Caenorhabditis elegans: one gene and its partner. The protein of the gene in region 2 interacts with the protein of the main gene of each other region in a pairwise test. Each region holds a gene or a part of one and is shown on either strand. Other genes may lie near its edges. The genes, in order: rps-15A and T09B4.8.

The links.
Region 1: the proteins of T09B4.8 (region 2) and rps-15A interact in a two-hybrid assay, tested with the Caenorhabditis elegans proteins (one large-scale study listed by BioGRID).

What each region holds. Positions count from the first base shown.
Region 1 is NC_003281.10:1,948,683-1,951,952, forward strand, and holds rps-15A (Ribosomal Protein, Small subunit), read left to right. Parts: upstream 1-1,977; 5' UTR 1,978-1,993; coding exon 1,994-2,089; intron 2,090-2,138; exon of another isoform or gene 2,139-2,305; coding exon of another isoform or gene 2,306-2,314; intron 2,315-2,390; coding exon 2,391-2,687; 3' UTR 2,688-2,742; downstream 2,743-3,270. Other genes in the region: polh-1 (DNA polymerase eta), read right to left, coding at 288-463, 547-751, 1,042-1,201, 1,250-1,396, 1,448-1,575; F53A3.7 (DNL-type domain-containing protein), read left to right, coding at 2,845-2,988, 3,042-3,158, 3,231-3,270.
Region 2 is NC_003279.8:6,163,930-6,168,239, reverse strand, and holds T09B4.8 (Alanine--glyoxylate aminotransferase 2, mitochondrial), read left to right. Parts: upstream 1-1,700; 5' UTR 1,701-1,708; coding exon 1,709-1,881; intron 1,882-1,925; coding exon 1,926-2,049; intron 2,050-2,167; coding exon 2,168-2,592; intron 2,593-2,639; coding exon 2,640-2,749; intron 2,750-2,806; coding exon 2,807-3,087; intron 3,088-3,137; coding exon 3,138-3,224; intron 3,225-3,268; coding exon 3,269-3,403; 3' UTR 3,404-3,521; downstream 3,522-4,310. Other genes in the region: T09B4.4 (EF-hand domain-containing protein), read right to left, coding at 1-122, 190-223.

The DNA of each region.
Region 1 (3,270 bases), on a different chromosome or scaffold from region 2:
TTTTTGATTTTCTCAATTTTCCTGCATTTTTTCACGACCATGTTGACTTTTTACCGTCAAAAATCGAATTTTTCACACATTTTCAGCTGAGAAAATCTCAAAATTTCTTTTTTTTTTGCCAGAAAAAATTGATTTTTTTTTGAGTATTTCCAAATTTCTAGGTTCAATGAAAAATATTTAAAAATTGTATAAAAACGCCTAAAATTGCAGATTTCAGACATTTCAGATAATTTTTCGATGAAAATTCTGAAAATAACTTGGAATTTTGAATATTTTCGCTTCCGTACAGTGATATTAAGCATTTCTTGAATGCGATTTCCCATTTTTCCGCCAAATCCTCGAACATCTCCGATTGGCGTAAGCCGGAGAATTTCTCGAACATAGAACCACGGAATTAACGTTTGTTGGCGTGGTTTATGCCGGGCGCACACCAATTTCGCCATCATTTTGTTGTTTCCGACGCCTGAAAATGGAAAATTGCGATTTTTGGGCGAATTTTTCCCCCCAAAAAATGAATTTTTCTGGATTTTCCGGCAAAATCCATACCCGCCGAGCAAAAAAACTGGGTTTCCTCGTGAATTTGTTGCCGAATTTGCTCTACAGTGACCGCGGCAATCAGTAAAAGCAGGTTTTCCGTGCAATTTCTCGCATTTTCAATATATTCCAGCAGCACATCTTCTCGTAGGTGCTCATTTTCTTTCACATCTTCTCCGGTAGCGAGGTGTGTGGTTGGGAGGTAGGTAATAGCAGCCTGAAATGCGAAAATTAGGCAATTTTTAGCGAAAAAATCATGGATTTTGCTTGAAAATTCATTAACAAACGGCAAAAAACCTGTGGACCTAGTGCCGCCCGGCGCGAGCGGTCGCGTCGCGGTTGGCACGTTTTTTAGAGGTAATTTGAAATTCTTGAATTTTATTAATTGAATTTAGCGGAAAATCAGGTTTTTCGCGTTTTTTTTCTTGAAAAAACTGCTAATTCTGCAAAAAGATGCTGAAATAGGGGGGATTTTTCTCATTTTTCAACTTTTCAAGCTAGATTTACCTGCAAAAACTCCTCCAATCCCTCGTTTTCTCTCAATTCTTGCAATTTTTGATTAGTATACGCGGATAAATCAAGAAAAGCCTCATCGACAGACGCTTTTTCGATTATAATTTGCGAGTCGTAATTGTTCAGCACCCGGAAGACTTCTGCGCTAGCGTCGCTGAAAAAATAGCAATTTTTGGGACTTTTTCAATATAAGAATTCCAACCGATATTTCTGAATATCAGCTTTATCTACATATTCTCCAATCGGAACGTGACATATTGATATTTGAGGGCATTTTAACTTCGCTTCGGCCACCGTCATCCCTCGTTTCACTCCGAACGGGCGGGCTTCATAGCTTACAGCCAAAATTCTGGAAATTTCGGGCTTTTTTTGGAGAATTTCAGATTAAAATTCAGCTTACCCACCCTCGATACCCTGCCTGGAGTGCTGCACGACGATCACCGGCTGTCCCCAAAGCGATGGATTGTCCCGTTGTTCGACTTGTGCGTAGAAACAGTCCATATCGATGAGGCTGATCACTCTTTTCATGTTTTATGTGTCTGAAAATATTCAAAAACTATGAAAAGTTGAAAAAAAAAAGAAAAAAAGCCGGAAATTGCGAAAAAACGAATTTTTAAAACAAAAAAAAACCAAAATCAATGTTTGAAACCCCGCCTAAAGTGCACTGCAATCGCGCTCCACTAAGACGATTTGGCTGCTTGGCTGAGTATTCAACGTTAATGCATAGGCGGTGGAAAGGCGTAGGCCAACGAAGTTTTTCACATACTTTTCTCGAATTTCCGTGATTTTTAGGTGATTTTCTCCATTTTTTGTGGTTTTAAGCATTTTCCAGTAGTTTTGATGCGAAATACCTACAAATATTCATCGAAATGTGTCTGTTTTGCTTCGCGTTCTCATAATTTTTGTAAAAATGAATTCCCGAATTTTCAGGTAAAAACAAGCAGACATGGTTCGCATGAACGTCCTCGCCGATGCGCTCAACGCCATCAACAACGCCGAGAAGCGCGGAAAGCGTCAGGTTCTCATCCGTCCAGCCTCCAAGGTAAATTCGCGTCGTTCTTCGAGAATTCTCAATGCATTTTTGTTAATAGATGATGATGCTGGCAGCCTCGGTCGCAAAAAATGACCAAGGCTCTCCGTGAATTTAGAATTTAGTGAAAGAAACTCGGTTTTATTTCCAAACATAACTTTCGGTTCTAATTAAACGGAGACACCCTTGGTTAGATTCTCTCAATCTGGAGATCTTCCTGGGATATGAATGTTGAAGGTAACCAGCTTAACATCTACTTTCCGTATTTCTAGTTTTCCACCTGTCCCTTCCCATCGCAACAATAATTTTCCAGGTCATCGTCCGCTTCTTGACCGTCATGATGAAGCACGGATACATCGGAGAGTTCGAGATCGTCGACGACCACCGCGCCGGAAAGATCGTCGTCAACCTCACCGGACGTCTCAACAAGGCCTCCGTCATCTCCCCACGTCTCAACATCCGTCTAAACGATTTGGAGAAGTACACCAACACCCTCCTCCCATCCCGTCAGTTCGGATATCTCATCCTTACCACCTCCGCCGGAATCATGGATCACGAGGAGGCCAGAAGAAAGCATTTGGGAGGAAAGATTCTCGGATTCTTCTTCTAAATCCAAACCCTAATTTTTTGTTTGTTATTATTACAAATAAATTGTTGTTACAACTACAACCGAGTCGTGTGTTCAGTTCGGCATCCAACTTTTCAGGGTTTCTAAATATCTTTTAAAACCTTTGGGTTTCGTTTTCGGGGACCACGAATTTTTCAGAATGCTCCGCTCAGCAGTTTCAGCTCTCTATAGAGCATCGAGAAGCTTCTCCGAGACAGTTCCCAGACTTTCAGCCACTCCACTGGGGAAGCAAGAGCCCCAGTTGTCCCTGTCATACACCTGCAAAGTGTGCAACTCCCGGGAGGTTTGAGCCAAGAAAGCTAGAAAACTGGATTTGAAATTCCTAATAATTTCAAGGGCCCAAAAACATTTGCCAAGTCATCATACGAGAAGGGAGTTGTCATTGTCACGTGCTCCGGCTGTCACAACCATCACATCATCGCTGACAATATCGGATGGTTCGAGGACTTTAAAGTGAGCATTTTTGCTCTTGAAAACGGAGCATCGTTGACGCGTGTTGTTTAGCGTAAATCCAATTTTTTCCAGGGAAAAAACATCGAGGATCATCTGAAAACGCGAGGAGAAG
Region 2 (4,310 bases):
GAAATAAATATCAGTTTTGGAAGCAGTTGGAGAATATCCAAGACTTCGGAGAGCACATCGAAGTTGAGAATCTGTTCTTAGTACTCCACTGGTTGAATAAAAGTTGAAGCATTCACGAATTTCTGATGAGAAACAATAAAGTAAAGATTTCGGAGTCAAATCTTGGAATTATAGTGTTGTTTCACTTACCATCAATCTGCTTCTGCGAGAAAAATTCAGTCATTTCTTCTTTGTTTTAAAATGTTAATATATAAAATAGCCAAACCCGAGCAGCAAAATGTGAATTGAAATTCTGTGAAAAGAACTGTGTGAGAAAACGAGAGAGCGTAGGTAAATAAAAAGCGAATCGCGGAACGGTGTTTGACGGGTCAAAACAAAGGCGGAAAACAAGAAAAAACGAGAGATTTGGCAGGAATACAAGCTTTTTTCTCAACGAAAAATTATCCTCAACTTGGACCAAAACAAAAATCAATAAATGAGAAAATTGATGTTGTATGCAACACTGGTATTGATAACAATACGCAAATTTGGGTTATCTGCATCTTTTACATAGAGAAGAAGAAATAGCAAAGAAATTGTGAAGAAGAAGAGAAAAAGAAAGTCGCACGAGAACGGTTGCGATTGAAAAGAGAAAGTTTTGATGCGAGAAGGAAAGAAGACTTAGATTTTCGGCAACTCGGCAATTTTACAGAATATAATACACTGCGGGTACTGCTTATAAATAAAAAGTCACACGGAAAATAAACTTTATGGATTCAACAGTTAAGTTGGTTTTATAAATAATACTCGGAATACTCCAAACTTTTAATAAATACCGCAAAATCAAAACTTGAGGGGAAGAAAAATACAATTCAAGATTGTGCAATTTTTTCTCTTATTAATTCCATTTATCATGGGTTTTGTGCATTTTTTCTTTTTTTTTTTCTTCTATTCTTTTTCTTCTATTCAATTTTCTGGAATTTCATGTGCTCTCTTCCTCCTCCCGGCCTGCCTAAGCCTAAGCCTACGCCTATGCCCAAGCCTGAACTAAGCCCCACGAGAAAGTATTGAAAGTATTTCTTCGGATCCACCACATAAAGTCAAATCAAGAATATTATTAAAAGGGTCAATAATCAGAATTGAATGTCCTATTCATTTTTATCAATTGATACGTGCAACAGTTATCAATTATCATCTCTTGATATCTTTCAGTTGTTCTATGAAAATTCTTTCTTTCATTTTTTCTTTTTGCAGGCAGTTTTTCACAAAGAACCGTTCTAATAATGACATTTTTCTTTCTTTAATTTTTTAACTTGTTGTTCTTTTGCACTTCTGTCCTCAAACACGTTGCTCTTTTTCTCTTCTCCACACATTTATTGGTCACTCTCTCTAATTTTCCCAACGACAACTGTCTCAGAGCCAAATGAAAAAGTATTTGAATGGAAGATACGCAGACAGTCATAGACAGTTGTCTTTTTGGTGCATTTTTGTGTGTGTGTGTTGTGTAATATATCCAACTTGACCTTGAAACATTTGACACACCCTCCAGTTATTTTGTGTGCAATTGTGTTTCTTAAATGCCTATAAGTTCTAATGATTTCCTGTATTTAACTTGTATTCCACACGAAAGTAGATTTTTCCGTGAACTTTTCAAAATTTTCCACAAGTCATTATTTTTTGGATCCCTTTAATCGATTCATCAAATATTGAAAAAATTTCAGCTTAAACCATGCAACGAGTGCAGGCACTTCGTCCATTACTTCCAAAGGGACATGTGACCTATTACAAGGATCAACTCTTGATTACGAAAGGTGAAAAACAATTCCTTTTTGATTCGAATGGAAAGAAATATCTCGATTTCTTTGGTGGAATTGTCACAGTCTCAGTTGGACATTGTCATCCGTGAGTATTCTTTTTGTAAGCTTATGAGAATTTTATGCTTTCAGAAAAATCAACGCAGCTCTTACCGAGCAAGCACAGAAGCTTTGGCATACCACGTCCATTTATCACACTGAACCAATTTATGAGTATGCTGAGAAGTTGCTCTCAAAGTTCCCAAGCAAATTGAATGTTAGTTTTTATTTTTTACCCTTTTATCAAACCCTACAGTTTGCAGACTTGAAACTGTTAGGCCTTCCTATAGTGAATTACTAAATATCTAGTCGTTTCTTCACATCCAAATTTTCAGTCAGTCTTCTTTGTGAACTCTGGATCGGAAGCAAATGACCTGGCTTTAGCTCTTGCTCGTAACTACACAGGACGATTTGATGTTATCTCGATGAGAAATGGATATCATGGAATGACCCAAACTGTTCTTGGAGCAACTAATTTGGGAAACTGGAAACCAGTTTTTCCACATGGATTCAACATTTTTAAGTCATTGAATGCTGATCCATATCGTGGAATCTTTGGAGGAAGCAATTGTCGTGACTCTCCAATTCAAGTAAAGAACAGAAAATGCGATTGCAAGCCTGGATCCTGTCAAGCTTCTGATAAGTACATTGAACAGTTCGATGATATGCTTCTTCACGATTTCTCTCATTCATCCGGACCAGCTGCCTTCTTGATTGAATCTATTCAAGGAGTTGGAGGAACTGTTCAGTATCCACATGGGTAAAATCTCAAAAGAAAAGTGAAAAATGTGTATTTGATTTTTCCAGATATCTCAAAAAGTCTTACGAATCTGTACAAAAACGGGGAGGACTCGCTATTGCTGACGAAGTACAAACCGGTTTCGGACGCCTCGGCTCTCATTTTTGGGGATTCGAATGTGAGTTTTTAAAATAAATAATACTAAAACTAAGAAATCAATATTTTGAATTTTCAGCACAAGATGCCTTGCCAGACATGGTAACTATGGCAAAAGGAATCGGAAACGGATTCCCATTGGGAGCTGTTGTCACTAGTAAAGAAATTGCCGACTCTTTCAACAAATCTCTATACTTCAATACATATGGTGGAAATCCATTAGCTTCCGTTGTTGGAAAAGCTGTATTGGAAGTGATTGAAGAGGAGAAGCTTCAGGAAAACAGCGCTGTTGTTGGAGATTACTTCTTGAAACAACTTGCAGCAATTGATGATGCGACAATTGGAGATGTTAGAGGAAAAGTGAGAAAACTCTCTAAAAAGATTTTAATATACAATTTGATGATTTTTAGGGGTTAATGATCGGAGTGGAACTTATCGATGAGCAAGGGAAACCACTTGCCGCAGCCAAAACAGCAGCTATCTTCGAAGACACTAAGGTGTAATGCCATTTTACTTGTCTAACTATCAGATTAATTTACAGAACCAAGGCCTACTGATCGGAAAAGGAGGTATCCATGGAAACGTTCTCCGTATCAAACCACCAATGTGTATTACTAAAAAGGATGTCGATTTTGCTGTAGACATCATTGCCAAATCAATTAAACAATACAAATAATTTCATAGGCGCCGTCATTTCTTCATTTCGATATTACCAAATTCTTGTTTTTTGTTGTTGTTTCAAACTATAATTCAAATATTCAAAATTCTTTCGGGTTCTATGAAATTATTGTTCCAAAACGCTTCAATTTGTATTGTTCAGACCACTCCCTTTTTTAAGACGTACAGCTACAAATTCAGATCTGAACACGAAAATCCGTCAGTCAACTTGGTATTCTTCTTTTTTCGCATTTCTCTTTTGCTTCTTCCAAAACGCATCCAGTTACATGTATCGTTTATGTGTTATTGGTATACTATGGCATTATGTACGCGCTTCACTTCTCCGTCACAAGGTGCTGGTGGACGGACGATGTTTAAAAAAATGAAGCGACATGCATGTACTGCGGCTGCTGCTTCTGCTGTGGATTGAGATTAAGAAAAGCTTAAAACCGGTTCCGATCCGCATGTCCTTGGCGCGCGGCAAATGCGACATAGGTGTTATCTCATCGGATGGTTAGGCGACGCCAACCGCACAACTGATGATGTAATCGAAATGCGGAAAAAGGTGAAAGTGATAGCATGGCAAAAGTTTGCCGCCAGCAGGGGTCGAACCTGCGACCTTGGGCTTATTAGACCCACGCTCTAACCGACTGAGCTATGGCGGCATAAAATGCACTCTTCAAGCGTACGAATAAAACAGCAATAAGCACGTAGGTTGAATGCATTAATCTATAAGGTGTGTATATGGTTTGAATTGCTGTTTGAATGCGTATACGTTCGATTGAAAGTTCGACATGTTTCTCAGTTATTAATATAAAACAGTATTGAATCCTACAAGTTGCATCATATCACACCCTCTATAGAGGGTGTGATATTTTTTAGAGGCCTCTAGTTATTGTTTGTTAGCTTGCGACCGATATCGGATA